Linked DNA regions of Oreochromis niloticus. The protein of the gene in region 1 interacts with the protein of each later gene in a pairwise test. Links are inferred from orthologs where the notes say so. Each region holds a gene or a part of one and is shown in the gene's direction. Other genes may lie near its edges. The genes, in order: trim32, CAP-Gly domain-containing linker protein 4, ptcd2 and ubiquitin-conjugating enzyme E2 variant 1.

Region 1 (7,893 bases):
CACACATACATTTGATTGCTGAATGCTTTATAAGGGTAAAGCATGAGCTAAACTTCTCTGTATATATGCATGCACATGTCTTAGGTGGACGTTACCTGAAATCTTGTTTACTCACACTGAGAAGACAAAGTTGTCAAAACTTAGGTATCAAAAAGATAAAAGTGCTGAATGACCAAACAGAGAAAATATGGTCTAATATTTAGCCAGACCCCATTAGTAAATTTGCTTATGGAAAGGAAACGTGATATGATTAACTTTCTCTGCAAAAAGATCCAAAGACATCTCAAATGGGATGAATCATAGAGCAGCACGTGGCAATTAAGCTGATATTACATTCGGCTGTATATACTTGTTTAGACACGGGCGCGCATATCCCACACATATACACATCGACTTCCCCACAAGAGAAAACCATGATGTCATCCTTTTTAGTCCCTCTGTATTACAATATTCGTTTCCAGCAGTCAAAGTCAACCAACCAATGCCACCTAGAGTTGAATTCTTATAACTGCATCAGTTAAACGCTTCAGACGACAACAAATATGTACAGTTAGAAAGTTTGATTACATCACCATTAACTGAATGCCCAGTGGTGCAGTATTTAGCTGCCAGCTTGTCAGCACAAACCACCAGCAGTGTAAAGATGTGAAGACAGATGTGCATATCTATCTATCTATCTATCTATCTATCTATCTATCTATCTATTGCGCTATTAATGATAAAATTGAGCATTTCATTAAAAAAAAAAAAACATCTGATGTTTCAATAAAGTTGTGAAAGTTTATTCCTGTATGCGGATTGCTTTTGCTTTGAGTAGCATCACACCTCTTAATTAGGTTGACAGTTCACATTCTCATCTGTCCCTTTTCCCTTTGCACACATGCATGTGCAAGTAAGCTGGCACACAGACACAGAGCTTCCTATACTCCCACGCTGCTTTCTCACCTCTTTGGTGATGTTGTCTTGGACCAAGCTGTAAAGGGGCACGACGCGGCTGACTTCCAGCAGAACAGGGATGGGGGAAGGCTGTTCACCAGTCCTGCCGTTACCACTGCGGCCTCTTCCCGATACTCCGCCCATCATGGCCTGGTGATGGCATAGGTGGCAGCCAGCTGGACAGCTGCCCTTTTCTTCGCAGCGGATCTCCACGCCATTCACCATGTCATCAGATAAAAGCTGGCTCTTCTGCAGCGCCGACAGGTAGCTGATGAAGGGAAGTGACTTCAGCTCACGACGCCCACCTCCACCAATACCCTGCTCTGTTGCCTCTGGAGGGGTTTTCGGGGGAGAAAGGGGTGTTATATGGGGCATTGGTCAAAGGAAGGAGATAAACAATTAAGCGCAAGATTGATTTACTTTAAATGATTGATGCCACAGTGTCAGATTCTTTCATTTTTTGTATGTACGCTTTCATAATTATAAAGACAATCCCCTTTTTCTTAACTCTGTTTGCTTGGAAAAGAAGAAGATTAGTTGCATAGAATATCACCATCTGGATTTACTTGAAAGAAAAAAAACAAAAAACCTAATCCCTTACGACCATCAGCTGTCATAGACAAAAGAGGAATGGCTAGGGGATACAAGAAGGGGGGAGGGGATGTGCCTGGTTTCTTCTCATAAGTGTCAATTACCACTTTTTGATGTCCTCACTGGAGTTTGGGGAGATTCTTTTTCATCATTTCCTCCTTAACCAGGAAAATAACACACCCCATGGAAAGAAGAGGAAGTGAAAGAAACAGGGGAGGAGAGAGATTGCTAATCGGGTGTTGAGTGATTGATTTGGAGGACACAGCAAGCCACATGTTTCAGTGGAGCACATCTGCCATCTGTGCTGATGTGGCAGATGTGCTTTTGTTTCCGTTTACTTTCCAAAGAAATGCGAGTTTTCCAACTAAGTGATAATATATTTTTTCTAAAACAATAAAAAAGAGTGCACCAAAGCTTCTTTCATGATATAACAATTAAATATAATGCACTGTCTCGCTGTGTAACAAACTGTGGAGAAAACACAATGAGAAATATGCAAAATCAGACGCATATTACTGAAAACAAATCAGTTTTTATCAGCGTAAATTAAAAGATCAGCCTCTACACATGTACAAAAACAGCAGTGTGCAAAATCCTGCTCTATACTCACACTTACTTCCTCTTCATTGCATGTTCAGTTAGGCCAATTAGCTTATTAAGAATTAGCTTTGCAGAAATTAAAACTGCAGGCATCAAATAACAAATTTACAGCATGCAATGCATAAAAGAAGATAGCAGGTATCTTATAAAAAATGGGAAATATTTATCTGCAAATACAAAACAAACATTTTCTAACTATTCTAATTTGCATTACATTTATGTGGCATTTCCATGATCGTTTCAATTAAAAATCGAGGTAAGTAAAAATTTGACAACAAAGTTGTTGCAACAATTAAGTGTCTTATCCAAAAAGAATACTGGGTTTAGACAAATATACCAGAGTGGATTCTTCCAGGATAATATTAAAAAGTGGCTCTAAAATAACCATCTGTGCTCAATGTTTAGTTATTAAATCTAAGCTGTATTTCATGTCAGGTAGCCATTACTTGTTCCGTAAGTCTGTGTGTCAAAGAAAACTTTGTGTGTCTTTGTGACTTATTCCCTGTGTCCACCTAGATGACACTTTAAAGGTGGGTGGTAACTTCATTTGAAACACAATGCAAACAGGCTCAATGGGTGGCCCATGAGCCCAATTACACTCACTTCACAAGGAAGCACAGACAATGAAAAGAGATGTTGTCAACCAGCTCCCACAATAAATCCCATATCACCTAAGCATTGTGCACCTATGTCTGTGAGCCTGCTTATTTGTGCTGTATAAAGTACACTCCACACACATTTAGGGAAATTACCCCAAAATCGCAGTTTAAGGAGTGACCCAGCTTGTTGCCTCTTTAGCTGTGACAGCTCTTTACTGTGTGGAATAGATGTGATGCTTGTGCAAGACTTGCCTGTCACCAAAACACTGTAAAGAGATAAATGTGGTGAGGTTACTTGCTATTAATCTTGATCTGTCTTTGTTAATTAAAATCTCTTTGTAGACTGGTTGCATCATAATTAAGTCAACAGGGACCCATCCCCTTTGGCCAGAGTGATGTTGCCCACGCAACAACAGCAACAGAGTCAGGTATCTTTCTAAGGCAATTAGATACAGATACACTCACTATGAGTGGATGATGTTATTTCTTTAGTAAGACAACTGTAACAGGTCCATACTAACTAGTGATTTTAACAGGTCCCTGCTTTAAGTACAGATCTTGTGAATTATATACATTTCTTTTAACTAATATAGTGAAAAAAGTGCAGCACAACAATTACGGCTCTGATGATAGTAGGCTAAAAGAAATATTAAGTATATCTTAGGATATATCTTAAAGTGGGCCATTTTTAGATAGTCCTGTTAAAGTAAATTACATCATCAGCTCCAACATTAAAGCCACGAGCTCAGTGTTGCAACTCTGCAGCTGACACAACAGCTCTCACCCACTGGGGCACTGACATGGGAGTTTTCAGCAGTGTGGTGTGATGTCTAGCACCAGACACTGGCAGCTAATCTGATGGGTCCTATGGGTTGTGGGGTGGGGCCTCCTCCAGGCTTGTTCCTGCATATCCCATTGATGTTTGACTGGTATCAGGAGAGTTTGCAGACCAGGTCAAAATCACAGACTCATGTTGCCTTAGCTGGTCGGCATTTCTGCAGAATAGGTGGGACATGACCTATGGGGCAAGCCAGTGCTGTTTTGTCTGCAACAATGGTGGCACATGTCAGAGTAATCCACATGAATGCCGGGACCCAGAACATTGTGCTGTAACTGGGTTACCAGTGGTATTCACTTCACCTGTCAGTGGTTTTAATTTTGTAGCTGATATCTGTATCGTGTGAACATTCTAAGTAGACCTATTCTGACATCAAGTGGTCACTCTGTGTAATTACTGCCTTCTTTTAAAAACAAAGCTTGTGAACACTGCTTCAGGTATGCTATGGGAGAATAGTTTTCTCAGCTACAAGTTTGGTTACTTGGTTACAAGTTAACCAGTTATCTAACTTAAAAGGGGATAGCTTTAATGGAGAAGGATATTCTGCTAAAATGACATTGCAATAATTTTATTGTGTTTATTGCATTTTACTGTTGAATTAACAAGTTGCTGGGAGGACACATATGGTTCTCAGGTCTTTTGGAGTGAAGGGCCCACTCCTGAAGACCTTCTATGACTCTGTGGTGGCCTCAGCCATCTTTTATGGTGTGGTCTGCTGGGGTGGCAACATCTCTGCCGGGGACAGGAAGAGACTGAACAGGCTGATCCGCAGCGCCAGCTCTGTTCTAGGATGCCCTCTGGACCTAGTGAAAGTGGTGAGTATATATTATTTTATTTTATTCTATTGGATATAGTATTTTATTTTATTCTACTCTATTCTGTACAGTTGTGTACAGTATCTTATTCTTATTCTATTCAAGTGTTCTCTAATTTTGCTATATAACTTTGCACTGTCCACTTTCTGATGTAACAAAACAAATTTCCCACGTGTGGGACTAATAAAGGTTATCTTATCTTATCTTATCTTATCTTATCTTATCTTATTTTATGAATGCATCTAATTGCATTTATATCACACCTAAACATGCAATGCTTACTCTTGCTTTTTGCCTCTGTGTTTATTCACTGCATATACCAATCTTACCAAATCAATAGAATTTTGTATAAAAAACAAACAAACATTTGGTATAGAGTTGCATTCCTTTTGGGAATTTCTGAGGTCATCCAAGTCACTAGGTGGCGCTGTCATGAAAAACACAGCTCTAGTAACCCTGAAAAACTGCACTCTCCGTTTACTAAACGGCAGCCAATCAAAACAACCGTAGGGCTCGCCTCTGTGCGTATTGCGTAACATCCCGGTTGTGTGTACGTGACGTCGTCAGCACTGCAGTCTTTACTAGCAGCTGCATAGCAGAAAGATACAGAACGCCCCACAACAGCGCTGCACTTTCAACCAGCAAAACAGTGAAGTGAAGGTAATGTTTCAAAGCAGAAATGCCTCGAGAGACTCTTACGATGAGTCGCCTTTCTTACGTTTGAATGCACGCCCTTCAAAGTCAGTACTGTCGTTGAATAACACTGCTGTTTATGTGCAGGGCTAAGGGCATTTGTCGTATTGTGGTGAGGCCTACGGTTTACTTTTCGTTTGTAAGTCTGGACTGCAGTGTCAACCTACTGTAAAACAACAAGTTAGCATTATTTTGGTGTAGGTTATAACCTAGTACTCCCGTTTGTCATTAGCATGACACGGTGTGTCTCTTAGCTTGCTGATACACGCCATCACTCACCATATGTCGGTTTTCAGTAGCTCCTCGTCATTGAACTGTGTCTACCTAACCGTTAATGTTGATCTAATCTGCTCTGTTATCTAGCATCTTCCTTAAACTTGACCTGGCAAATAAGCGTGGCTGCATCCTGTGTTTATTTTTTGAATATCTGTTAGTTTCGTCTGCTTCTGTGTTACACAGTGTGGCACAGTGTTACAGAACTTTTCATTTCTTCCATTTAAGGTGAGGACCACAATGGCAGCTGCTCTTGACCCAGATCTAATGAGGGAGGTTCTCGAATGCCCTATCTGCCTGGAAACCTACAACCAGGAACAAATGAGACCCAAGCTCCTGCAGTGTGGTCACACAGTGTGCCGGCAGTGTCTGGAGAAGCTGTTGGCCAATACTATCAATGGTGTCCGCTGCCCCTTTTGTAGCAAGGTCTCCCGTATGAGCAGCATCTCCCAGTTGGCCGACAATCTCACTGTGCTCAAGATTCTCGATTGCACTATGTCCTGCAGTGCTGCCGCCGCCGCCCTAATGTGCAAATCCTGCTGCAATCGCCTGCCGCGACAGTACTGTCATGATTGTGCCTCGGTTCTCTGTGAGCTCTGCAAAGGAGAGGGCCACCTGCATGAAGGACATTCAGTCCAGCCGATAAGGGTGGCTGCTGAACAGCGTCGTAAGGACCTGGGTGGTAAACTGGAGGCTCTCCGTGATGTTATAGGAGAAATTCAGAAGAAAAAGACAGTAATTGAAAACATTTCCAAGTCCTTGAGACTAAAGTACCGAACAATACAGCAGGACTACACTACAGCTGAGCTACGTCTTCAAGAGGAGCTCAGCAGGTCTCGAAGGACATTCAGGACTTCCATGGCAGAAGTAGAAAAGCTCAATGCGCAGGTCCTGGAGGAGCAGACGTATCTTCTTAACATTGCAGAGGTCAAAGTGGTGTCACGCTGTGATTATCTGACAATGCGAGCAAGACAAAGTGACATTGCCCTGCTAAAAGATGATGGCGGAGACAGTGATGACGAGGAACTGGATCTGAGGAGCAGTTTACCCACAACCTTTCAACTGCAACAGCCAGAGCTGATCAGAACAGAGCAGTCTAAACCTCTAGAAGTGGGCCAGCTGACCACAAGAACTTACACTATCAATACAGATGATGAGGAGAGTGGGTTAGAAATTGCACTTGAAAGTGATGTAGAGGGGGCGGGAGCTACAGGAGGTGAAGTGGTGGCTCCAGTGGATCTTTACCGAGACATTGACATGGTTGCAGCTGTGGAGGAGGCAGTGTGTGGTTCTCCAAGCAGCTTTAAATCAAAGTCTATGGATGCAGGAGGAGGTTCACCTGGAACGGCGCGGGCAAGTTCAGGGCCCCCAGTCTGCCAGTTTGTGAAGAAGATGGGCTCCAAGGGAACTCTACCTGGGAGTTTCAATCTGCCTGTCAGCATCTGTGTGACCCCTCAAGGTGAGGTACTGGTGGCTGATCGTGGGAACTTCCGTATCCAGATTTTTAATCGCAAAGGCTTCCAACGTGAAATTCGGCGCAGCGCTAGTAGCATTGACAACTTTGTCCTGAGCTTCCTGGGGGCTGATTTGCCTAACCTCATCCCCTTATCTATTGCTGTGACTGCACAAGGCTTGATTGGTGTCACTGACAACTATGATAACTCAGTTAAAGTTTACACCATGGATGGACACTGTGTGGCCTGCCACAAGAACCAACTGATTAAACCCTGGGGTATTACTGCCATGCCATCAGGCCAGTTTGTGGTGTCAGATGTCGAAGGTGGCAAGCTGTGGTGTATAGCGGTGGACCGCAACGTAGGTGTGGTCAGCTACAACAGACTATGCTCTGCTGTACGGCCAAAGTTTGTGACATGTGATGCAGCTGGAACGGTTTATTTTACCCAGGGCTTGGCCCTGAACTTTGAGAAACGCCAGAATGAGCCCCACCTGGAGGGTGGCTTTTCCATTGGCTCGGTGGGTACTGATGGCCAGCTTGGCAAACAACTCAGCCATTTCTTCTCGGAGACGGAAGACTTCCGCTGTATCACTGGCATGTGTGTGGATTCCAATGGAGATTTGCTGGTTACAGACAGTGGCAGGAAAGAAATCCTCCAGTTTCCAAAAGAAGGTGGATACAATATTTTAATCCAGGAAGGGCTGACCTGTCCTGTGGGAGTGGCCACTACCCAGAAAGGACAGCTGCTAGTGCTGGATTGTTGGGACCACTGTGTTAAAGTCTACACATACATTCAGAGGAGGCATTCCTCTACTTCTTAGAAGAACAACAAAGTGTAATTGCACATGAGCATCAGAGTAAGTCTTGAAGTAAAGAAGTTTGGAAAAGGAAGAAACATACTCTTATTTAACACTCTTTAATTTAGCTGCAGTCCAGTCAGTTCTCACTGTAGCTCTCATTTGGGTTATTAAATCAGTAGTTCAGTCAATTCAATTCAGGTTCAGGTTATAGTCTACTGGGTTTTATCTTGAGTAACTCAAGTTGAATCCGTTTCTTATAATGCAGGGATGTCAATCTCATTTTACATTGTGG
Region 2 (7,872 bases), on another chromosome or scaffold:
TGCTTCCCATTGAGAACCAGTACTCTAAAGTAAATCAAATCAAGACTAGCCTGTTTAAAAATCTGCAGTAATGTTGCCTCACTATACATTCATATTGTGCTTATAGTCGGTTTTTCCCATAATTCTATACTTTAAAGAGTTGGTATGACCATCAACACAGAAAAAAATAAACACAAATTAAAAACCATTGTGTTCTTGTGTTCTCATCTCATCAACCTGTAGTTTAAGTATCTTTTTAGTGTTACTTCCAAGTGAGTTCAGCTGTGTCTTGTTTCCTTTACGTTTCCTGTGTGTATTTGAAGCCTCAGGTTGCTCGTCATACTGTGTTCCAGCCTTGGTTTCTCCTGGCGTGTTTCCCCTGCAGTGGTCTCTTTTGTTTTTGCCCTTTCCTATTTTATGCTCTGGATCTACAACAGCCACACGAAAGGCTTGCTTTTTGTTTATTCCAAGTCCGTCTCAGCAGTCTGCAATTTGGTCCTCTTCTTTATTTCATGACAGAGGCAGCAACACATGCAGAGTGCTCTTCAGGTTCAATAAACACCAGCACCTGAATCTTCACTAAAAGTGGCTTGTCAGTCTGAATGGACATTGGAGGAAAAGTGTCACCCTGAGAAATTACCTTCTCCTGAAAAGAAAGATGTTCAGACACAACTTCCCACACTGTGACCGCCAATGATAAGAGAGGCATTAGACTGAAAAGTGACCTCTTGCACCATCCATCTTTGTGGCAGCTTACTTTTTCTTTTTAAAAGTAAGAGGTTTGTTGTATTCGGAGGTTGGGTGCTTCAGAATAAAGCAGTGCATCAACAAAATGGGTATCCTTTTCCTATACAGCGGAACAGAGCATTTATTTTAGTTGAGCAATTATGAATTCTGTAATGAAAACATGAAATGGACTTAACAGTCATGAAAGTGCTTCCATAAGAAACTAAAGCACTGGGTTTAAACAGTGCTATTTTAATTACATAAAGTAATCATAAAGTAATATACAGTCTTTTCTCTTTTGTCGACTCGCCTACAGTTTCTTGCCCAACAAAAACAGAAAAACAAAATTCAAAATTTCTGTAACCAAAATAGTACAGTGCAATTTATGTATTTCGAGGTATTTTCCTTCAGCAGGTTCTGGTATTCAGCTGTTGATTATTTTCATTAGTATGTGGCAAACAATCCCAGAATTGAAGGAACTTTCAGGCCAGCTAAAATAATGCCTTTTTGTAGGTTTGCCACTTTATATTATGTAACTGGATGGCAGAAAAAAAACCCCTAACTTTATTAGTGGATTGTTGCTCAAACCAGAAAAGAATAAATTTAACATTTATTCATTCAATAAATAAATGAATAATAAATACATAAAATGAACATGTGTCTTTAATGGCATGTTTATATGTTTACATGAAGCAAATGATGTCAAGATATTGCAGGTTAGTTTCTTTTATTGTCTTTCGGGTTTTTTTAATTTTCAAAAACAATTCAAAAGTTATTTAGTTGTATTTATTTCTTATTTTATTTTTATGGGTCGTTGTAATACTTTTATTTTAAAAACCGGAAGTTTACATTAACCGCCTTTATTCTGAAGCCTAGATGTTGAAACAGGAAGTATTTCAGCTGTGCAACATCCAATTAGAATGGACGGAAATTAAATCCGCTACCTGACATTTTCCCCATGGGCGGATCAAAACAAGCAGGGAGGTGAAGGTAACGCTAATATTAAGCAGCCTAACATGATGCTTGTGTCTCTCTCTGCTCGCTAAGTGCATTGTAAGTAGCTCAGATGTTTTTGGCCCAGTGTTCGTGTTGGGGAACATTAACGTCAGGGAGCTAAGGTGACTGAGAGGAGGGCTCTGAGTAACTTTCACGTCTGCACGGTGAAAGCAGGGACTGCTAGCTGCTTATAGGGACTGAGCAATGTCTGCAGTGTTAGTTATATAAGGTGTGCTTCATCTGTCGCTAAGCCCGAGCCGGTTTTTGAACATATGCTAGCAAGCTAACTGTTACTGTCAGCTTGTAGCCCGATTAAAAACACTTTTAGCTGACAAAGTTATTTGGAAATTAATTAAATCAACGTGTGGACGTTTGAAAAGATGACATGCTATATTTACCTCTGCTGAAGGGCTACAAAAGTATGAGATGAGGAGGGAGTGTCTACTGCTAGGGGGATGGCCTCTTCGACTGTGAAGTTGGCTAACGATTTGGGGGATATAAATGAATCAGCCACACTTAAGTCACACAAACTGGTATAAACAACCACAAATAAGCCATCTCTCCAATAATTGGATGTTAGATAATAAGTTGCATAACTTTTCTCAAGCTGATTAAAGCTCAAGCGACCGAGTGTGGTCATTTAGGACTTAAAGTATTCCTGTCTAAAATATAACTTTTAATGGCTTTATTGTTGTTTGAGTGCATACCTGCTTCCGATTAGAGTAACAGGAACCTCTATCTTGCATAATCAAGCTAATCCACGCACCCCACCTCACATCAGCAAACAAATGCAGGGGGTAATAGTTCATGATTTGGCCTGGTGCATGAGGCGCATAGGATGGATGGAGGTCAAGGATGCTGCCTGTGAACAAACGTTTTGGATATGTTGTTACCACTAAACATTTAATCTTTATAGAAAAATCCAATTAAATTTATTGATGCCATTTTTTGTGTGTGGAATATCTCAATAAAAATACACATACATATAATTTTTATTTCAATTTCAACATCCTAGCTGTAAAATTATTCTTTCTACTTATGGCCTTCAAATATGCTAGTGCACGAAATGCTATCAATTTTCAAGAAAATTCAGGGTGTTTTTTGAAGCTCCATGCTCCTGACGTTATAGTCATTATGAGCTTAATGATGTAATTCAAATAGTTTTCTAGATATAGCATGGAACTTAAAAAGATCAACATACATTACAGTCAGCCAGAATGGGTAGCTTGCCAATGGGTGCTTAAATGGCCACAGTCATCAAAAATATGCGAGTGCTGTCTCTTCGGTAGCTGTGGGAATGGTGACATCATGTAGGTCAGGCAAACAAGAAGAGGCTTATTCTAGAAGTAGGCCATTGTCTCAAGTCATACTGCAAAGACCTAATCTCTACACAGCCAGTCAGTGACCTCAGAGAGGTTGGTAGTAGTTTTTCATCTCACTCTTTATTAGCATGAACTATGGAAATTACAGTCACTGCTAAAGCATACATCTATATACAAATGTTCTGTTTGCAACAATGAAATTACAGAAATGGAGAAGAAATTATCAACAGTTACATGTTGATGGCAGACACTCTCTTTCTCTTCAAACATGCACATTCACTCTCCTGAGAGGTGTGCTGTTAAGAAAGGTCATTGCTTTCTTTGCATTAGCTTGGTAAATCCTAAATTCTTGGTCAAAGATAATTTCAGTTTTTTCTGTAACCCAGACTTTCTGACTCAGTCTCAGTGAATGCTCACAAAAATAGAGTAATTAATTTGCCATTTCACTCTTCTTTTGCACAAAATGGGCCATTTAAGTGCTACCCACTTGAGTCCGAGCAATTCTATGTAATAAAAAAAGACTAAAGAAATGATCATCAAAAAAAGAAAATGATAAAAAGCAACATTGGTTTTGCAAATATGGCAAGCGAGTAATTCTGCAGAAAATAATTTATTCTTTTGAGTTAATACACGAATGTTAGCACTCACTACAGGCTTTTATTTATTTATTATTTCTCAAGTTTTTTTAAACATTAAATGAGTGTGACATTGCTCCATAGACACACTTATTAATTTTCTGCATCACCTGCTGACTATTTGAAGCACACAGTTTGTGTTGCTCTAACGTCACAGCTTCCTTTAATGGTAATGTAAAAATGCAAATCAACAGGTTGTATGTATAAAACACATTTATTTCTTTTTAAAATAGTCTGTGAGTGCCACAATTTCATTGATTGTTTTAGTTTTCACCTTAATAGGAATACTAATTCTGTTCTGAAGAAAAACGTGTTATACATGAAACCTGTTGAGTCTTCTGGTACTGCCAAGTCTGCTTCACACTGCTGTGAATAAAATACTACAAAATTCAATCAGTAAAATTAATTTTACTTAGATCTGACTGCGCTAAAGTGCATGTTAGAGAATTTTTAGATGTTAGATGTTATATTTTTTATTTTTTTTTACTGACTTCTATCCCCTGTTCCTCTGATACTTTTTGACTGAAGTAGGTAGCACTTGATCTGTCAACTTTGTGCAGAAGATGGGTGAAATGACACATCAAACGCCCTTTTTTTATAAATGTTTGAGCACTCTCAGAGGCTGAAGCAGAAGCCTGGGATAACAGAGAACATTGATGACTCCTGTCTTGATATGAGTTATCTGAATTTGCTTGTTAGTACATTGTTTCAGTTATGTGTAATTCATCCAGGTTAAAAGAAAGCATCTTTGTGACTCGGAAAGTTGAGGCTAAAGTTTTCAAACTTCCTGAAAAATAATTAGTCTTTTGTCAGACCTTCACCTCAGCATGCTGTTGGAAAATCAGACTGTGAAGTGAAGTGCCACAAGCTAATCAAAAAAAGGGCGCTTCAGTTTCAGGGCTCTTCTGGAGCAAATGCGGGTCCACTTATCAAATATCGTGGTTCGGTTAAGCACTTAAAGAGAATAGAGTGGTTAATATTATTAAGCCCCTTTTCTTATGAAATATGAGTTTTTTTCTTGAAATATTTCTACAAATATCTTGCAAATTTGCTCAAATACTTTTTTTTTAAGAAATTGCTTTTATTTGATAATACAACCCTATTGTGACAGTGAGGTTTTTTTTCTCCTTTACACCAAATGGATGGAGGTCAGGGTGTAGAGTCAGCTACCCTCTCTCTGGGGCTGATAGGTATTCTGTGTCTGTCCTATGGTTGCTTCAGTAGGGCTGATGTTTGCTGTCCGGGGGAAATGGATACTGGGCTTTGTGGTGAACGACAGGCCTTCTAATCAAAGCCACCACTTCCCTCCTGTTTGTTTGCGCTATCAGCCTACAGGCCACATTCCCTCCACTAGGGGTTACGCTTGGCTACTCTATGTCAGTGAGGTCAGAGGTTCACAGGACTGGAAAGTGAGAGTGACATTCCAGCCGGGAGAGTCAGATATACAAGCTCCTTGGCTTGAAAGTGTACAGGCTGTAAATAGCTGCTGGACCTGGGAGTCAGGGGATCAACAGGGTATAATCAGAGAGAGTGGGGGTGTTATTGGAGATTGAGGAGGGGGGCAGTCAATGAGCTTTGGAGTTATTTTGGGAAGGATTTTGGTTAGATGTTCTACTGGACCCAGTCTGTGTCTTTTGATTTTAGCTTAGCACGACTGGGAGGCTCACATGGAGATCAACAAGAAAGAGGATAAAGGAGAAGATGACAGTGAGTGAGGGTTGGTTGGGAAGATTTTAGGCTCAATGTTGCTTTCCCAGGCTTACACCTGTGTGTGGGTGTGTGTGTATGCTTCTAGTTCAGCCTCCAAGGTTCCTTTGTGAAAGCTTCCTGTGTCCGCATTACAGTGTCACTTTTTTGAGATTAGGCTCGTAGTTTGGTGTGTTCACCAAAAACCTTTCTTTGTTTTCTAATCTGCTGGCAAAGGAATCTCTCAAAGGTGCTATGAGTCAAATGCTGACATTCTTTGAAAAGCCCTGTCTTGTTGGGGTGATAGCTTGAATGCGCCTTCCCCCTATATTCTTCAGGCGACACCACAGATTAAAATACCATGTTTTTTATATTATGTTAGTTCTGTGCATACAAGTTACATTTCCCTGTATTGCACTGCCAGATCAAATGAAAACATCGCTGTAGCTAGCCTGTGTGCTTTTATTGAGAGATTAGACCTACTTGTGTTCTCAGAATAGGCTTTCTAATATTGTTCCAGCCGCAGGCCCTGAGGGGGAGATGACAAAGGAGGATGTTTCAGAGCCTGTTGAAGGCGACACGGTCCTGGGCTGCCGCGCTAGACTCTCTTCTCATCAGCGGCCAGTGATCCACCAGGTGGCCTCTGCACCCATGCCCAGTGACTGTGGTGAGTATTCACGCTCTCACTGTGCAGCTATGTGACATTTCAGGCTAGTTAACGCTTTCTCTTTGCAGCATCGACAGGCTGTGAAATGCCACAAGATATGAGACTGAAGAAAGGTTGATGGCTTAAATTGACACAGAGCGATGATGGTGATAGAGAGTCTCTGGGTTCTAATAATGTAGCTGGATATGTTAGTTACACTTTGACATTGTTCTTTTGTAGTGATTTATTTTTAAACAAGAACGTTGTGACTGTTATCGTCTATATCTTGAATTACCTAATTAATCGTAAAGCCATTTCAGCAGGTTTGATGCTGATTTGCTTTAATGTCCTTAAATACTTGGATGTGGTCACAATTTTTTTTAAAAGTTGGTACTGACTCTGCATTTTAAGAAAGTTTGATTTCTTTAAGAAATTACTGTGTTGATTTGGTGCTAGGTTTTTGAGGTGAACAGAAGTCAAGTAACACTTGACTGTTCAATTACTTCTAAGTTGAGTGATGTAATTTACAGTCTAATTTTTATATGTTTAATGCCTTTTTTCCCCAAGACCCTCTTAAAGTTGAATCTTTAATCAAAGTATTTCATTTCAGATTTGCTGTAGTTGCGTACAGAGATAAAATTATGAAAAATTTCATGCCCAAATACTTACGGACTTAGCCGACTACAGTTAGTGTTAACTTTTGGCCTTTCACAGTGAAAGCCATTTACCTTCAGCCCCAGCCGGGTCATCTAATGCCTCATTTGGTTCACGGCATGCCATCTACTGTCACATCTGTTTTCATTTGCCTCTGCAAGGGCAGCAAGGGCATTTCCCAAGATTAGTAATTTGCTGAATCGATTGAACAGTCAGTTGCAGAAACGTCTGCAATAAACGTCTGTGCTGCAGAGTTTCACACATGCTCTCTTCATGTCTGTACACGGGAGAGAAATATTTCCGGTCCCACTCCTCATTATACTTAACATGTGTCACTTTCGTTCCTCTTCATTGCTTCCAGAGTTCTCCTTCTTTGACCCCAGTGAGCCGCAATGCAGGGAGGTTCTGTTGGATCCCAGCACCACCATACCAGAGCTGTTTGCTGTCCTCAGGCAGTGGGTGCCCCAGGTTCAGAAGAACATTGACCTCATCGGCAATGAGGTGACATTAAAAAATGTCCAGCTGCTGCGGAATTTCACAGCGGTCCCTTCTGTAGCTGTAATGCTTTTATTTTTGTCATAATATAATCAACTGAAACTTCAGAGGACTTCAGATTAATATAAGTTCTGATTTATTTTTTTTCATTGTTATGGACTCTGTTCAGATACACACCAAATCCCTTCTGCCCGTGTTACACAAAGTAGCTGCATTGCAGTAAACTGTGCAGAGAAGCACTCATCTCAAGGGTAAAAGAAGGCGATCATTTTCTCTGAGTAACTATCACCCTTGAGAAATAAATACCTTGTTTCAATGTCAGTTTACGTAACACCTGTTGTCCAGATTTAAAGATGAGTAGAGTTATGAAAGCCTTGAATTACTTGTCATTCATCACACAATTTCCCCCTAATTTCATTTTAACCTGTTATGGAAGATTTCTGCACGCCAACACCAAGTCCTTAGTGGCACATACTGCATATCTTTTCTTTGCACAGATCCTAAAGAGAGGCTGTGCTGTGAATGATCGAGACGGTCTGACAGATATGAGCCTCCTGCACTACTGCTGCAAGGCCGGAGCCCCAGGCATTGGTAAGTATTGACAGAGGTGGTGAATAAGCACTCTCAGCTGCAGGGTAGAAATAAACAGACATCTACTCTGACGTATGTGTGTGTTAATTTATGTGACCACTCTACTGCTGAACATTATTCTGTATACCTCAGTAAGTGCAGC
Region 3 (7,540 bases), about 4.2 Mb from region 1:
TACAGTGATCTCTATTTATTTTTAAATCAAATGCCCAGTATGCCTTGGTTTAGCCAACCAAACTAAGAGCACCTGTATTTGTATCTGTTGGTACTATATCTATAATTAGAAATCTGTCACTGGCTACATAGAAACTCCTCGACACTATCTGTTCATTTTCAGTCATGTGGCAGGGATTGTTGGCTGTAAAGTGAAATTGTGGCCGAAGGGAAATTACTTCGTTTAGCCTCCTTGCCAACAAATGTCCCTGAAAGTCAGAATTGAGGAGAGATTTATGTTCCCACAGAGATTTACAGAGTGGACTGGAAGCTCCATTTAGGTAGTCTAAGGGGATGTGATGAGGCTAAAATAACTAAGAGTGAGTGCTTTAATACAATCTGTAGGGGTATTAATATAATCTTGTAAATGTGTTTTAAGCTTTGGTTTATATACTGCCAATAGATTCTATACTTCATATTTTCATGCTTTTTTTTTGTATTACTGATATGATTTGATGACCAGATTAATCTACATGACATTTTATTACATTCAAAATGAATTATGCTAGTTTTTCTTACCGTCACATGTCATATTTTTCCAAAGTTGTGTTAGATGTTTGTTACCAATTAGTAAACATTATCATGCTAATGTGCCAAATAAAAAAAATGAGCATGGTTAGCCCATACATTTTGTGGATTAGCATTGGTATTATTCAGCTCAAAGCACAGCCGTGACCAAAAGGCTTGAAGATACAAGTCATTAGCTACTTTTGATCGATCACTTTGTTGAAACAATACATGCATAATTAATGAGAATCTGTCAAACTGTAAAAGAAATATGTACTTAAAAACTAATTAACTAATTGTGCACAGTAAAAGTTTTTGATGGATAAAAAAGTATAACGTTAGTGTAAAATTGTCTGAAATGCATTCTAGTTATTCTGACATTGGCATCTCATTTCCAGCGAAGCAATACAAAAACATGAATTACATAATTAATGCATAATATGCATATGCTTTGTTGTTTGTTGGAAGATACTTAAACAGATGCTAACAAACCAATGCCACTCCAAAGAAAAAGTGAAGGAAATTAAACGGTGTGTGGCCCACAGCGGATTTAAAGATAAAAACAAAAATATATGGATAGATTGATAGCTACACAGAGAACAAGAAATGTGTCACAAGAATATGGAAAATGAAAAAGTAAAAGGTAGAAAGGAGATGCAGCATGAACTAAACACAAGAGCCTTTCAGATCTGATGCCCCAGAGGTACTGGCTGAGAAAGAACAGATCACCAAGAAGGAACACAGCAGATCAAGTTGATAGGAAACATCTTCACCATTCAGAGTCATTTTGTTGTGCAGTGGGAGACCACAGCTTCATATGTTTGATGTCTCAGAGCAAGTGAACACTGAGCTTGCAAGCCAAGCTTTCAGGGCTTTTAGCTAATATACAGCACTCTAGTAAACTGAAAGCCTTTTTTCTTTTTTAATGTATGCATATTTCCTTAAACCTACTAATTTATAAGTTATGCAAATAAGGGAGAATCCCTACTGTTTCTTCAAACTCTAAGCACAGCCATGCGCCCTTAAGATCAGCCTGCAATCAGTGTAATCATAAGGTATTCTACAGATGAAGAAAAGCTGTTTAACTGTGGCTTTATACGTCTAACACAACCAGTCTCTCACAGTAATCATTGCCAGCTGTTTTTCTTTTTTTTTCTGTTCCAAAACTGTCTCAGTGGGGACATTTATTAATGATGATGGGGCACCCCAGGCAATTTCCAAAACTAAAGGGAAGTGCACGCAGGGATAAATCAAAGAAGATGTAAGTGCTGTGATCTGTCAGCTGAACCTGGCCATTTGTCAAGGGAAATCAGAGTCTGAGTGCTAAAATAGAACCCCTACAAACAGTGCTGTGCTCCCTGTCGATTATTGCATCATTCCAGCAACTTTGCACAAGCTGCCATCACACTGATCACTCACCCTGTGGCTATAGATAAGCAACACAGGTTTTAAAGTATGTGAAAACAGCCATATGCTGTTATAAAAACAGAAAGAGGGAGAGAAGGAGAGGGAGAGAAGGAGAAACCCATAGAGACACATGCACCTTGCAGGAAACCATAAATTATCCAAGGCCCCGTGTCTGATTGGCTGAGCAAGCAATCTGAGCTGGATGGGCTGAGTTCATGTTGCCAAGGCAACTGTGGGGGATCCTCCCAGTCCCAGCCCTATTTTCTCTGTGCAAGACTATCCATCTTAGGAGTTCATTTAAGAAAATACCTTAATTATAGGAATGAATTTTTCAAAACTTTAAACTTACACTGCTTTGCGAAATGGTTTCAGACTGAAAAATTGCTTCATCTATGGCTGCCCACTGCCTTCAGGGAGAAACCACCTAAACATTCAAACCTGTAGGAAATGAGAAAAAAGACAGTGGAAAAACTGCTGCATACTGTGTTCCATTTAGGAATTGCTTTGCTGCTAATAAACAATTTGTATATTTTTCTTTTACTGTAGTAGTCTGTCTGAATTTTAACATTTTTGACATTTTTCTTACAACCCTGCCATGACCAAGATAAAAAAAAAAAACGCATGCAAAGGCATGATTATGTAATACCATGCGGGTCAATAGGTACACTAACTAGCAGCAGAGTTTGGCACTTACTGCATGTTAAAGTAATGTTCCTTTAAAGTAATTATAGGAATTCATTCATAGCCCATATTGTCTTTTTTTTCTGTATGACATGAAATTGGCATACAATTTTGGATTGATTTTGGATTTTATAATGTAAATTATGGATCTATTACACAAATTGTATTATCTTATCTTATCTTGTCTTATTATAAGTGCAAAATATGATTTGGCGTGATATAGGTGTTTGCTCATTAGAGAACATTGTGTTAGTTTTTGATTCACCTTTTAAAAATATAGACATAGAGGAGCCCAAAGTGACAAGGGGATCTGAAATGATAGCTTGAAACAGAAGAAAACATTTTTCAGAGGAGGTGAATTTATCTTAGCACTGTAAATGTCAAACAGGCCCGGAAATGACTTAAATATAAATATAAATGCATTGTTTGTTCAATAACAAATATTACCCCAAAGACTGCTAGTAAACTTCTACCGCTCCACCATCGAGAGCCTTCTGACTTACTGCTGCACACTCTGGTTCAACTGCTGCACCGCGGAGGATAAGTGGAAACTGCAGCGGGTGGTGAGGGCAGCAGAGCGTGCAATCGGCACTTCACTAACCCCCCTCAGAGACATCTATACAGGCAGACATCAGCAGAAAGCCAGCATCATCATCAAAGACCCCCCGCACCCTGGACACTCACTTTTCCCCCCTTCCCTCTGGTAAACGTTACAGGTCCATCAGGTCAAAGACAAACAGACTCAACAGAAGTTTTTACCCACAGGCTGTCAAACATGCCCTACCTCCACCCTGATTGGAGGATAACTGCACTGCCAACACTCATGGACATTACACCTTATTTATAAATCGTATTTCTATTTATACTTCAATGCAACCAACACCCCTGCCTCTTTAAACTGTATTTATTATAACCTTATTTAGTACAGTTGGAACAGCACCCCCCCCCCCCCCATTCAATGTGTAATATCACCCCCCACACACACTCAATGTGCAACATCACTGATCACACTGCACCTCTCAATGCACCTGCTAGTTAGATGGCATGTATGTGTATGTATATAGATGTAAGTGTGTATGTGGAAATATGTGTGTGTATGTATGTACCAATGCATATATGTATATATACATATATCTATGTATGTGCATGTATACTTGCAGGTGTATGTATAACTTCTACATATCTTTCTCGTGTAAATTTAAATTTGTCTGTTATTGTGTAAATACTTACGCTATTGTGTACTTCACACACATGGAGAAATGCCAAACTGCCTTTCATTGTTCTTGTAACAGTGACAATAAAAAGCTATTCTATTCTATTACAGTAAACAGCAATATAGTAACAAAGAATAATACCATATGAGTGTAAGCTCATATCTGACTTTCTTAGTCCCTGCATTTTACATTATTAAAATGTGTATATTATACCTCACTGTGTGGGTACAGTACAAACACTGTAGCTGCTCCAAGCAATGACGCCAAACCAGAAATGTTCTGTAGCACAACAGCACCACCTGCTGGTTAACAGATAAACACATTTTCCTGTTTGATGCCGTTTTGTTGAGTAATAAAATTTCGCGTGGCCTTTCTGGAAACCACGATTCAAAGAATATAGTTAAAGCTTCGTTTTAAATGACGATCACATTATTTCTGATGTATAATGAAAAATCTGTTCTCCTTCGACCTGCTTAAAAAAACTGAGCCGGGTCATTAAGCGGTGCCATTTTGGATCATACCAACTGGAAATACCACATTACGGAATTAAAAATAATAACTAATTATATTTTTCAGATTAAATAAAATATTGACATTTTTAAGTGTTTTATTTTAATATGGCTTAATTCCCAGGGCGGAAATTGTTTTGTTTTTTTTAATTTAAAACCTTGCTTTATTATTACCAATAACATCCCCTTTGATTTCATTGCCATGGTACAGCCTGTGGGAGATATGGCGCTGGGCAGACTTGGTAAATGTTGTCGGTCGTTATTATATGAGCCCTCTAAAGGAGTTTTTTACGGTGTTTTACAGATAGGCTGGATTGAAGGCTGCATAGGAGGTAAGACAAACAAAAGTCGCCAACAAATGTTGTCACTCTTTAAAAGGTAGTATGAAAACTGCGTGGTTTGCATAGCGGGGGCAGCTAGCACCCTGTAAAGCAGGCACACGTGAATTAAAGCAAGGTACAGCTGCTAATGGGGATACTGAACTTGAAATAAAGTCCACCAGAATTTGGATTTAAAAGCTTAACTGTTGCCACTGTTGTTCTCTTTGGCTATGTGAGTATTGTGCAAGTTATTCTATGCAAGGCTACCTTATCACAGGGACTCGTGAGGGCTTTCTTCTCGTATAGTTGTTATTTTTGCCCGTATATAATTGCCATGTAGTGGTAACTGATTATGGATTCAACCACGCATTTTAACCACCCTACAGCTAAAAGGCATCTGTTGTCGGAAGATGTTATCAAGCTACAAGACTTCCAGCAAAGGAAGCTGGCAGTGGCTCACCATGTCAGTGGATCGGAAGGTGAAGTAGTTATTCTTGTCACTGGCACAGTTCTGCAAATTTATGTCGTATAAAACTTACTTTTTGTGTAAACCTAACTTTACAGGGAATTATATTAACCTATTCAGTCAGAAGCTGCAAAGGAATGAGCTGATATTGCGGGATGAGTTGAAGCTTCTCCTTCACCTGTGCCAGTCAGCAGATGACATGCAGATAGCCAGAGATGCCATCTACAGGTAAGCGTGCAGCATTCACTTACAGGGATTTTTGTTAATGACCAAAAAACAACCCAGCCAAACCTCACTCACCCATTGCTGGCTTGCTCTCATAAGGTATCACACAGAGAACCGTAACTTGTTGTATGGAGACTTCAAATTTGGTCCTCTCTTCATGAGACTGTGCTATGAGTTGGGTCTGGAGAGCATGGCTTTTGCTACAATCACGGATAAGGTGAACTGTACAACATCCAGACTTCAGTTTTACAACAATAACTAGACTGGGCATATACTTCAGTGTTTGACTAATAACATTTTATTTTGTCCTGTCTGAACAGAGCATGAAAGGATTTTTCCACGACACCACCTCCTTTAATATAGCGATAGACATGTTGTTCATGAAAGGCTCCTTTGAAAGTAAGTGACAGGTTAACTCTCCTGTGGTTTTTTTTTTTGGGGGGGGGGGGTTTCTCCCACAGTGATTATGATATTTATATAATAATGCAAACTTTTAACTATTGCAGATGCTTTGGAGGTTCTAAGAACCATGAGGAGCCAAGGCATACCATTCAACAAAGACACTCTCACGTTAGCAGCTGGTACCTGCTATAAGCTGGTAATGTTTCAGATATTTTAATCTTTTATTTTCATTTAACATTACAACCTTATTTATTCTTATATTTGGACTGATGCCCTGTTTTTGTGTTGGTCAGAATACGGCAGAGACCTACCGGATCTGCATCGCGCTCATAGAAGAGGAACAGACCAGAGGGCAGTTCATCCCGAGGCATACTTACTGCTTCGCTGTAGCACTAGCACTTCGAAGAGTGAGTTTTACATTCAGTACCTCTTATGCTTGAAGAGAGATGTAGCACATATTTAAAGCATCATTTATTTTATTTTCTGTGTGTGTGTTTTCCAGGGTGACCTAGAAAAGGCTCAGTCATTATTTTCACAAATTATGAGCACCGACAGCAGATTATGCCAAAATTTTAAGGTAAAGGTGCAGCATGTAAAATGTAATGTGCATTACTTCTTGCATTAGTTCTTCCTGTCATTCTGTGTAATTTGTTTGTTCTTTAGGTACTAATATTAACAATGTCTGGAGCGTTGGCAGAGGCTATTTCTATACTTTCTGCAGCCATGTTGCCAGAAAGTCCATCTTTTGTAAAAAAGCCAGAGTTTTCTCAGGAGGTGGTAAGTGAAACACAGCTACAGCTACTTAAAACTAGCACAGCTGCCAGGAGATTGGTTAGGGTTACATAACTGTTGTTAGTGTAAATGCTTATGTACAAGATGAGTGGTGCATTTAAAGTTCTACACTTTTTTTTTTCTGCGATAAACATTGGAAAAATCTATTCCAAAGGAATTTTGATGTATCCTTGTGCTGTTATTATTAATCTGAGCTACTCTGAGGAAATGTTACTCACATTGTTGATTCAAGCTTCAGAGAAAAATCATCTGCCCGAGAGTTGACTTGGTGTCATCCCTTTCAGGTGGATTTGCTACGTTTGCGGAGTCAGGGCAGGCCACACATGATAAAAATGGAGCAGGTAGTGACTCAACTTGAAAGAGACGGTCAGGTGACTCAGCAGACGCTCGATGACATGCTGTGTCGCACGCCCACAGGGAAGAGGAAACCAGCGCCAATAGGACTGGAGAGGAGAACTAGCCGGAGAACTCTAAAGCCTCTACAGTCCACTTTACTGTCAGAGTGAGGCCAGAGTGGGCCATTTAAACACTCTGACATTTCCCAGAGTTGACTTTGATGCTATAAAAGCACTCATATGATATTTAAGGGCCCTGAACAGCAGCCTATTAAAACGTGCTTGTCCTCGCCAATGCAGATACAACAGCCCATAGCATTGCACCTAAAGAAGCAAAATTGCCAAGAGGAAAGTTTATTTTTCTACTACATCAGCATCATTGACAGAGCCTATGCCATCTTCAATAAAGAACACTTTAATATTTTATGTTAAATGTGTTTAAAATAAATTCACAGTACCTGTGCAAACTCTCAGACTAATGAATTATTATGTGAAGGCACAAAGCAACACTGTTGTGAAAAGGTAGGTTGCCATCTTTAATGCTGAGTCATTTGACAGTTAATGCATATGACTCAGGACTATCGTTAGCTACCAAGAAATCAGAAACGGGGACAGGTTTATTTGTAAGGCTCGTTTGGAGGTCA
Region 4 (7,586 bases), on another chromosome or scaffold:
AATTTGTGATCGAGCTGTATTTGGATTTTCCGCTTAGAGACAGTGAACTTTCAGTGGATTTGAACGGTGTTTTGCGACAGTATGTGGTCAATTAAGTATTTTTTTTTCACACCTGAAAAATTTAGTGAGAGCAAATGAAGATGTTAGTAAGTGAGATGGGCAGTTAGAATCTCTCCTCGGACTTTATTGAATCGCCTTATCCTCTTGCCAACAATGTGGGAAAAGAGTTTATTGACTGACTTTAAATTGCTCTTCATTTGACTCTTGCTTCTTCTGAGGTAAGGTCCATGTGGATGTTGTTGTTGTTGTTGGTTATGTACACCGGTGGTGGGGATGGAGTTCTAGATATCAGATTAATGCCTTGATGCCTTTTTGTTGTCTTCCAGTTGGAGGACTTACAGTGTAAATAATATACTGTATTTATAAATAAACTAATAAACATATTTCTGTGTTTCTCTTTCTTTCTGTTATCATCATTATTATTATCATTATTATTATTATTATTATTAAAAAGTGTATAATTTAATCTGTTTTAGGAATTTAGGTGACGATTTCACAGGGTACACAGAACACCACCTTCTCATACATAATTCTATTTTTTTTAACCTTGTGATGAAATTTTAAAAAGCTAATTTGCATATACAAGTTTTAATTTGAATTATATTAGCAAATCTTTTTGCAATTTATTCTTTAAAATGTATAGTGCAATTTATTTAGTTTTTTACATGGGGAAAAAAATCACACCGATGATATAGAAGTCTCTAAAACTCGCAAAAACTCACATATCAAACATGATACACTTTAGCATTAAAGGGTAAAATAACCTGCTTGATTGTGTTTATATTTGCCTAAGTAAAGACTTTTTCACCATAGCTTTTTGCAGAAAAGGTACAGTAATCGCCAGCATCTGATGGTCTTCTGCTGCTACTACAGGTACTTGTGTCAGTGGTTAAAACATCCACTATGAAAAGCGTATTAATAATTAATGACCCTGTCTGTACCCGGAGCCTGGCCCTCGACACATTTACTGCTAATCGATGTGCTTCTCACAGATGCAGCTGTCATGTTACATTCCAGGCTTCTGTTTATTCCAAATAAAACAAACACTTTAAATTTACTTATTCAGTTAATCCTGTTCAAGCAGAACAGACAAATTATTCCGCACTCAGTTCGACTACACCATATTGAGGAGAATCCACAATAACAAAAGCATTCAGCAGTCATTTCATTAGGGACACCTGTTCTGCTGCTTGTTAATGCAAATATTAACCAATCACATGGTACAAAGACAAATCTATTTAAGTGTGTAGACATGTGCTGAAGTTCAAACCAAGCACCAAAATGGAAAAGAAAGGTGATTTAAATGCTGATGCCTGATGGGCTGAGTATTTCAGAAACTGCTGATCTACTGGGATTTTCCTGCACAACCATCTCGAGAGGTCACGGAGAACCATCTGAAAAAGAGAGAATATCTTTGCAGAGCTGCAATTCTCTGTGTGAAAATGCCCTGTTATCTCAGAGGTTAGAGGAGAGTGGCCAGACTGCTTTGAGCTGGTAGGAAACTAAGTCAAACAACCGCTTTATACAACCAACGCACAACACGTCAAACTTTGAAGCAGAAACTACTCCAGGTGCCACTACTGTCAGTTAAGATCAGGAAACTGTGGCTACAGTTCACACAGACTCACCAAAACTGGAAAACAGAAGAATGGAAAAAGAATGTGCCTGATCTAGTGTCTTGATTTCCTGCTGTCACATTCAAATGGCAGGGTCAGAATTTGGTAGAAACAGCTTTCAAGCATGAAAGCATGGATCCATTCTGCCTTGTCTCAACACTTCAGACTTGTGATGTTTATGTAATGGTGTGACGAATATTTTCTTGGTACCCTTTGGACCCTTTAGAGCCAAATTGGCATCTTTAAAATACCACAGTCTGCCTCATTATTGTTGCTAACCATGTCCTTCCCTTCATGACCACATTGTATCCATCATCTCATGTTGGTTTTCCAGCAGTATAAAGCACAAAGCTCACAATATCTCAAACTGGTTTCTAGAAAATGACAATGAGTTCACTGTTCTCAAATGGCTTCCACAGACACCAGATCTCACAGAGAGTACCTTTGGGATGTGGTGGAACATCATGGATATTGTTTGATATCCCAATTCTTTGATCTTTGGGCTGAAGGAAGAACAACACTCGGTGTATAAATGCTCAACCAACAATCTCTCGCACTAAGCATTCACATTCTTTCTCTCTTACAGCGCCTAAGTGACGACCTTGGCTTCCTGTTTTATCTCCTGATGAGATGGGGCAGAAAACCTCTACAATATGTTCTGTTCTCTTTGTAATCAGAAAAGGAAAGCCATGATTCGACACAAACAGCATTTCTTATAACTCAGCAGTATAATGCATCATAAAACAGTGTAATGATTTCACAGTCTTTAATCCAAGGCATAATGTGGCCTATAGCCGTATAATGATTCAACAGTTCTTTGATTAGAAGTGTAAGGTGGCATAAAACAGTATAATAATCTCACAATATGCAGCCAACAAACCTACAGCAACTGTGTGATGCTGTCATGTCAGTTAGGCTGGGTTAATTGATGACAGGGTACACTCTGGACAGGTCGCCAGTGTATCGCAGAGCTAACACAGAGAGACAGACAACCATTCACACTCACACCTATGGACAATTTAGAATCATCAGTTAACCCAGCTGCATTCAGACTCCACACAGACAGGCTGCTGTGGAGTCAAACTCAGGACCTTCTTGCTGTGAGGTAACAGTGCTAACCACTGCGCTGCCCTATGAATACTTGTGATCAATAAATGATCAAAAGGGGGGGATGTGATGACACTGGACAGCTGCTGTACTCTGTACTGTTTTCTGAGAACTTTGCCAAGGCAAATTAAGATCTCACAGAGATAACTTGTTTTATTTCAGATTTTCGTAACAGCTGATACTGACATAACAGCGTCACACAGTTGCTGTAGGTTTGTTGGCTGCATATCCATGATGTTCCACCACATCCCAAAGGTACTCTCTGTGAGATCTGGTGTCTGTTGAAGCCATTTGAGAACAGTGAACTCACTGTCATGTTCAAGAAACCAGTTTGAGATATTGTGAGCTTTGTGCTTTATACTGCTGGAAAACCGACATCAGATGATAGGTACAATGTGGTCAAAAAGGGAAGGACATGGTTAGCAACAATAATGAGGCAGACTGTGGTATTTTAAAGATGCTCATTTGGCTCTAAAGGGTCCAAAGGGTACCAAGAAAATATTCGTCACACCATTACATAAACATCACAAGTCTGAAGTGTTGAGACAAGGCCGAATGGATCCATGCTTTCATGCTTGAAAGCCGTTTCTACCAAATTCTGACCCTGCCATTTGAATGTGACAGCAGGAAATCAAGACACTAGATCAGGCAAATTCTTTTTCCATTCTTCTGTTTTCTAGTTTTGGTGAGCCCGTGTGAATTGTAGCCACAGTTTCCTGTTCTTAGCTGACAGGAGTGGCACCTGGAGTATTTTCTGCTTCAAAGTTTGACGTGTTGTGGGTTGGTTGTATCAAGCGGTTGTTTGACTTAGTTTCCTATCAGCTCAAAGCAACCTGGCCATTCTCCTCTAACCTCTGACATCACAGGGCGTTTTCACACAGAGAAATACTGTTTCTGAGTCAAGAACATCTCTTCCTTTAATTTGCAAGCTTAGGTCAACCTTTTGACACTGGACTCCACAGCTTACTTGCTATGTAATAAGCCTGCAGTCAGTCAGTGAATGACCTAATCAAACTTGGCATGCTTTAATCTATCCTTGCTAATTAAGGGTTTCATTCTTTAATCTCTCACAGCAATCTTTTTCTTCTAATATATTGACGCTCCCCCATCTTTGTTATTTTAATTGTGTTTAATTGTGGCCTTAGCCTTCAGAAATACCTTAATTTTTCATTCCCCATGGAGCTGAGGGTGCTGTAAAATGGTTTCACATCAGTAGATGTAGATGCACATGCATGATACCTATACCTACCCTACCTACCTAAAAGTAGATGCACATGCTGATGAATGACCAGAGGCCCATCCTCCTCCTCAGTCTTGCTGGATTTCCACAATTTCTGCAGAAGCACAAAACTCGGACCTAAATTACATGTATACTGATTTATCATGCAATGTGAATAGAACTAGGAGAGAATTACATGCTACATTTGAAGAAAGATGATTGAAAGATATACCGTAAAGACAAAATTCTGGACAAATACTCGTGCCTTTAGAACTGGCTGATTTAAAAACCCCTGGAGCAAAAGGGCAGTTAATAATATCTCTCTTTAATGAAATGACTATTAAAATAAGCACAACATTTTTTGATGCTCTGACAGAATTAAATCATTTAATATAGTGACCTGCCTTGGAAAGTATGCCAGGTTAGATTATCTGTAAATTAATCTGCTACTCTGACGACAACAACAACAACAACAACAACAATAATAATAACAACAACAACAACAGCAATACTACTACTACTACTACTACTACTAATAATAATAACAGTTCCGTTTTATACAGCCACATAGCTAATCAGTTTGCTTAAAGCAACAAAGGAAGCGCCGTTGCTGTCTTCTTGCTCGCGCACGCACCGCTGGCTACAATGGTAAAAGTGCGTGCTCGCTCCCGCTGTGTAGCGACAAGATGGCGGTCGCCGCCGGATCAGGTAAAACGGTTGAGACGTATTAATCACTGCGAAAAGCTATTTTTGAACAGTGTTGTCAATGAATTTTTACCGCGTGCCTGTTAGGTTTTATGATTAGATTGATTCTGCATTCAGACGCTGTGCTATGTTGTGTTATTACATAGAAGCTAAAACAAAGCTGAGGAGAATGAATAGGAAGCGATGCTAGTAGCTAAGCTATCTTAAGTTAGATAAAAGGACAGCAGGTCTCACTTCAGTGCTGTTTTATGGGCGTGGAGCCGTTACTCGCCAGCCATCAGCAAATATGAGACATTGCAACTTGTTTATGTATTTGTGTATTCATTTATACATTTTAATTTTAATAGTTTAATTTAGGATGCTGCTTAAATTACAGCATCCTGTTGTCAAACCACAGCACCGCCACCCCACCGGATAATGACAGCCTGTTTGCGACATCAGATTATTTACAGGCGCGATGTGTTGCAAACCGGGTGTGTAGCGTTACTTAAATGTCATCAAGAAATGCGGGTGCATCCCGCAGTAAGACGGTCTTCCTGCCCGGCTGTTAAACGTAAACAGTGACTGTACGTTTTCCGAGAGCTCATGAGGGAAACATGACCTGCGCTGAGCTTCACTGAGCTTCTCTGGAGACGCCGGTGAGCTGAGCTGAATTGCTGCAGCAGCTGGCAGTGTGACTGGGTTTGTTTGGATGGCTCTCTTAAGGGTGCAGCCTCGTCGTATCTTACTGCGGAGGCCAAGTGATGCGGCACCGCCGGAGCCAGATGCTCAAGTCTCACAGGACGTGAAAATAACACCTGCTCTTATCAAAAGGCTCACGCAGGCTGCAAAGCTGAGGCGTCCCTTATTTTTTTTCGGTCTTATTGAGTCATAACTTCATAACTGCAAGTCATTTTGTCTGGCACACTGCTGGCAGTTTTATTTAGCTTCATAAATCTACCTGTGGCTCTGGAAGTTTGCATGACTGAATGGCTGTGTGTTTGCCCACAAACAGGCGTTAAAGTTCCTCGCAATTTCCGGCTCCTGGAAGAGCTGGAGGAAGGTCAGAAAGGTGTGGGAGATGGAACGGTGAGCTGGGGCTTGGAGGATGATGAGGACATGACCTTAACACGATGGAGAGGGGTGATCCTTGGCCCCCCAAGGGTTAGTGGTGCCATTTTTAACACCTGGATGAGTACTTTGCAGGAGCAGGGGAGTGTTGACCAAGCCAAAAGATTAACAGTTACTTAAACCAAAGGTGTCAGGTTTGATTTGTGCATCGCATGATGTCGGGGAGCAAGTCAGGTCGTCCACTTGAAGAAGAGGAAAACATCGAGGCACTAACACTACTTTGCAATCCTTCGAATGATTGTTTTTGAATTAAAACAGAATAAATGTGAAGCAGAAGCACAATTAAACTCCTGACTAAAGACCAATTATCGCACAAGTTTGCAGCATAATGTTGTTTTTAATTGTTGACAGATGTCCCAGTATCTTTTTAGTTAGTTTGTAATTATAGGTATTTATAAATACTTTAAAAATTGCTCAGTGCTAAGCTGTAAAGTTGAAATGACCTATATGAGACTGTTATTTAAAAATGTTGTTTTTAAATTAATGACTGCAGTCCTTTGAGGACCTCTTTCACAGGACCATGGACATTACCGTATGTCAGACTGCAGCTGGGTCAGCCAGTTTGTCTTCCTCTACAGTGTATTCATTTACTGTGCGACTGGGTAAAACTGCAGCAGTGCTGTCACAGTTACAGCCTGTATGCAGGGAGCATAAAAAAATTTTGGCATACCACCAAATGTTTTGGCCAGAGCCAAAAATTGTAATAAAATTAGCAGTTATGTTAATTCTAGCAGACATTTTTGTTGATTAGATTAAAGCAAAAGGCACAGATTTGTGTAAAAACAAGGTACCGCAGACTCTTTAAACTCTCCCCAGGGCCTTTGTGAGTCAGGAGAAAAAAACCCTACAAGGGTATTTCCTGCCTTAGTTTTCACATGATGTTGTTGCACATAGTGAACATTGTGTACCAATTTTTTTTTTTTTTTGTTCTTCAAAGTTTGGTGTGCTGTCTTCTCACCTCTCCCTACCTTTCTTTGTTTAACAGACAAGCTATGAAAACAGGATGTACAATCTGAAGGTTGAATGCGGGCCAGGATACCCAGAATCACCACCTTTTGTCAGATTTGTGACAAAGATAAACTTGAATGGCGTGCACACCTCCAACGGTGTGGTATGTGAATTATTTATCATTATTTTTAAAATGATTGGCTCATTTTGGATGCACTCTGTGGAAGGAGCATCATATCTGCTCTGTGGAGTCAGATAAACAACTGATCAACTAGCTTAAACTGGCCTATCACTGATATGTCAGGATATATGATGTTTCTTATCATCTTATTGTTTAATACTCTCACTTACTGTTAGAATATTGGCTGAAATATCAATATAAGATTTTATTTACTCCTTAAAAGTCCCAAATGGTCGAGCTCTGCAGTTCTGTCTGGTTATGAGTTCATATCATCATGTTTAGAAGACGGCCATTGTATCCATGGAACAAGAGAATAATAGATGATTTACATTATGTACATCTAGATCTTTATTCAGATGTTTTAGGTTTTTCCAAGAGTTTTTTTTTTTTTTTTAAGATCTCAAAAAATTGGTAATGTGGGATCTTTCTTCCTAACTTACATGAGCACCATGCAAGTTAGGAAAAAAGATGAGGGCCAGTTCAGCCTTCATTCTTATTTAAAAACCCACTTTAAGACTTTTTTTTTTCACTTTTAATGCTGTATAATCTCCGAAAGAGGTGATTATTGTCTAATATGGTCATCTCAGGCACACTGCTCTACCTGTAAACACCCACTTGCTACTCAAACCTTTTATTTTAC

What was found.
Region 2: the proteins of trim32 (region 1) and CAP-Gly domain-containing linker protein 4 interact in binary tests that used the Homo sapiens proteins (3 or more experiments, as listed by UniProt). The two-hybrid records come from large-scale screens. The link is inferred for Oreochromis niloticus from reciprocal best matches to the Homo sapiens genes TRIM32 and CLIP4.
Region 3: the proteins of trim32 (region 1) and ptcd2 interact in binary tests that used the Homo sapiens proteins (3 or more experiments, as listed by UniProt). The two-hybrid records come from large-scale screens. The link is inferred for Oreochromis niloticus from reciprocal best matches to the Homo sapiens genes TRIM32 and PTCD2.
Region 4: the proteins of trim32 (region 1) and ubiquitin-conjugating enzyme E2 variant 1 interact in binary tests that used the Homo sapiens proteins (3 or more experiments, as listed by UniProt). The link is inferred for Oreochromis niloticus from reciprocal best matches to the Homo sapiens genes TRIM32 and UBE2V1.

What each region holds. Positions count from the first base shown.
Region 1 is NC_031972.2:19,941,868-19,949,760, reverse strand, and holds the start of trim32 (E3 ubiquitin-protein ligase TRIM32), read left to right. Parts: upstream 1-4,892; 5' UTR 4,893-5,039; intron 5,040-5,573; 5' UTR 5,574-5,585; coding exon 5,586-7,622; 3' UTR 7,623-7,893. Other genes in the region: astn2 (astrotactin-2), read right to left, coding at 946-1,268. UniProt on the Homo sapiens protein: E3 ubiquitin ligase that plays a role in various biological processes including neural stem cell differentiation, innate immunity, inflammatory resonse and autophagy.
Region 2 is NC_031983.2:24,619,700-24,627,571, reverse strand, and holds the start of CAP-Gly domain-containing linker protein 4, read left to right. Parts: upstream 1-4,857; 5' UTR 4,858-5,325; coding exon 5,326-5,365; intron 5,366-5,864; coding exon 5,865-6,011; intron 6,012-7,005; coding exon 7,006-7,145; intron 7,146-7,636; coding exon 7,637-7,730; intron 7,731-7,872.
Region 3 is NC_031972.2:15,726,718-15,734,257, forward strand, and holds the start of ptcd2 (pentatricopeptide repeat-containing protein 2, mitochondrial), read left to right. Parts: upstream 1-4,529; 5' UTR 4,530-4,558; coding exon 4,559-4,688; intron 4,689-5,062; coding exon 5,063-5,155; intron 5,156-5,240; coding exon 5,241-5,370; intron 5,371-5,466; coding exon 5,467-5,584; intron 5,585-5,687; coding exon 5,688-5,766; intron 5,767-5,873; coding exon 5,874-5,965; intron 5,966-6,062; coding exon 6,063-6,176; intron 6,177-6,271; coding exon 6,272-6,346; intron 6,347-6,432; coding exon 6,433-6,546; intron 6,547-6,845; coding exon 6,846-7,067; 3' UTR 7,068-7,540. UniProt on the Homo sapiens protein: Involved in mitochondrial RNA maturation and mitochondrial respiratory chain function.
Region 4 is NC_031984.2:9,991,354-9,998,939, reverse strand, and holds the start of ubiquitin-conjugating enzyme E2 variant 1, read left to right. Parts: upstream 1-4,581; 5' UTR 4,582-4,688; coding exon 4,689-4,710; intron 4,711-5,701; coding exon 5,702-5,850; intron 5,851-6,802; coding exon 6,803-6,928; intron 6,929-7,586. UniProt on the Homo sapiens protein: Has no ubiquitin ligase activity on its own. The UBE2V1-UBE2N heterodimer catalyzes the synthesis of non-canonical poly-ubiquitin chains that are linked through Lys-63.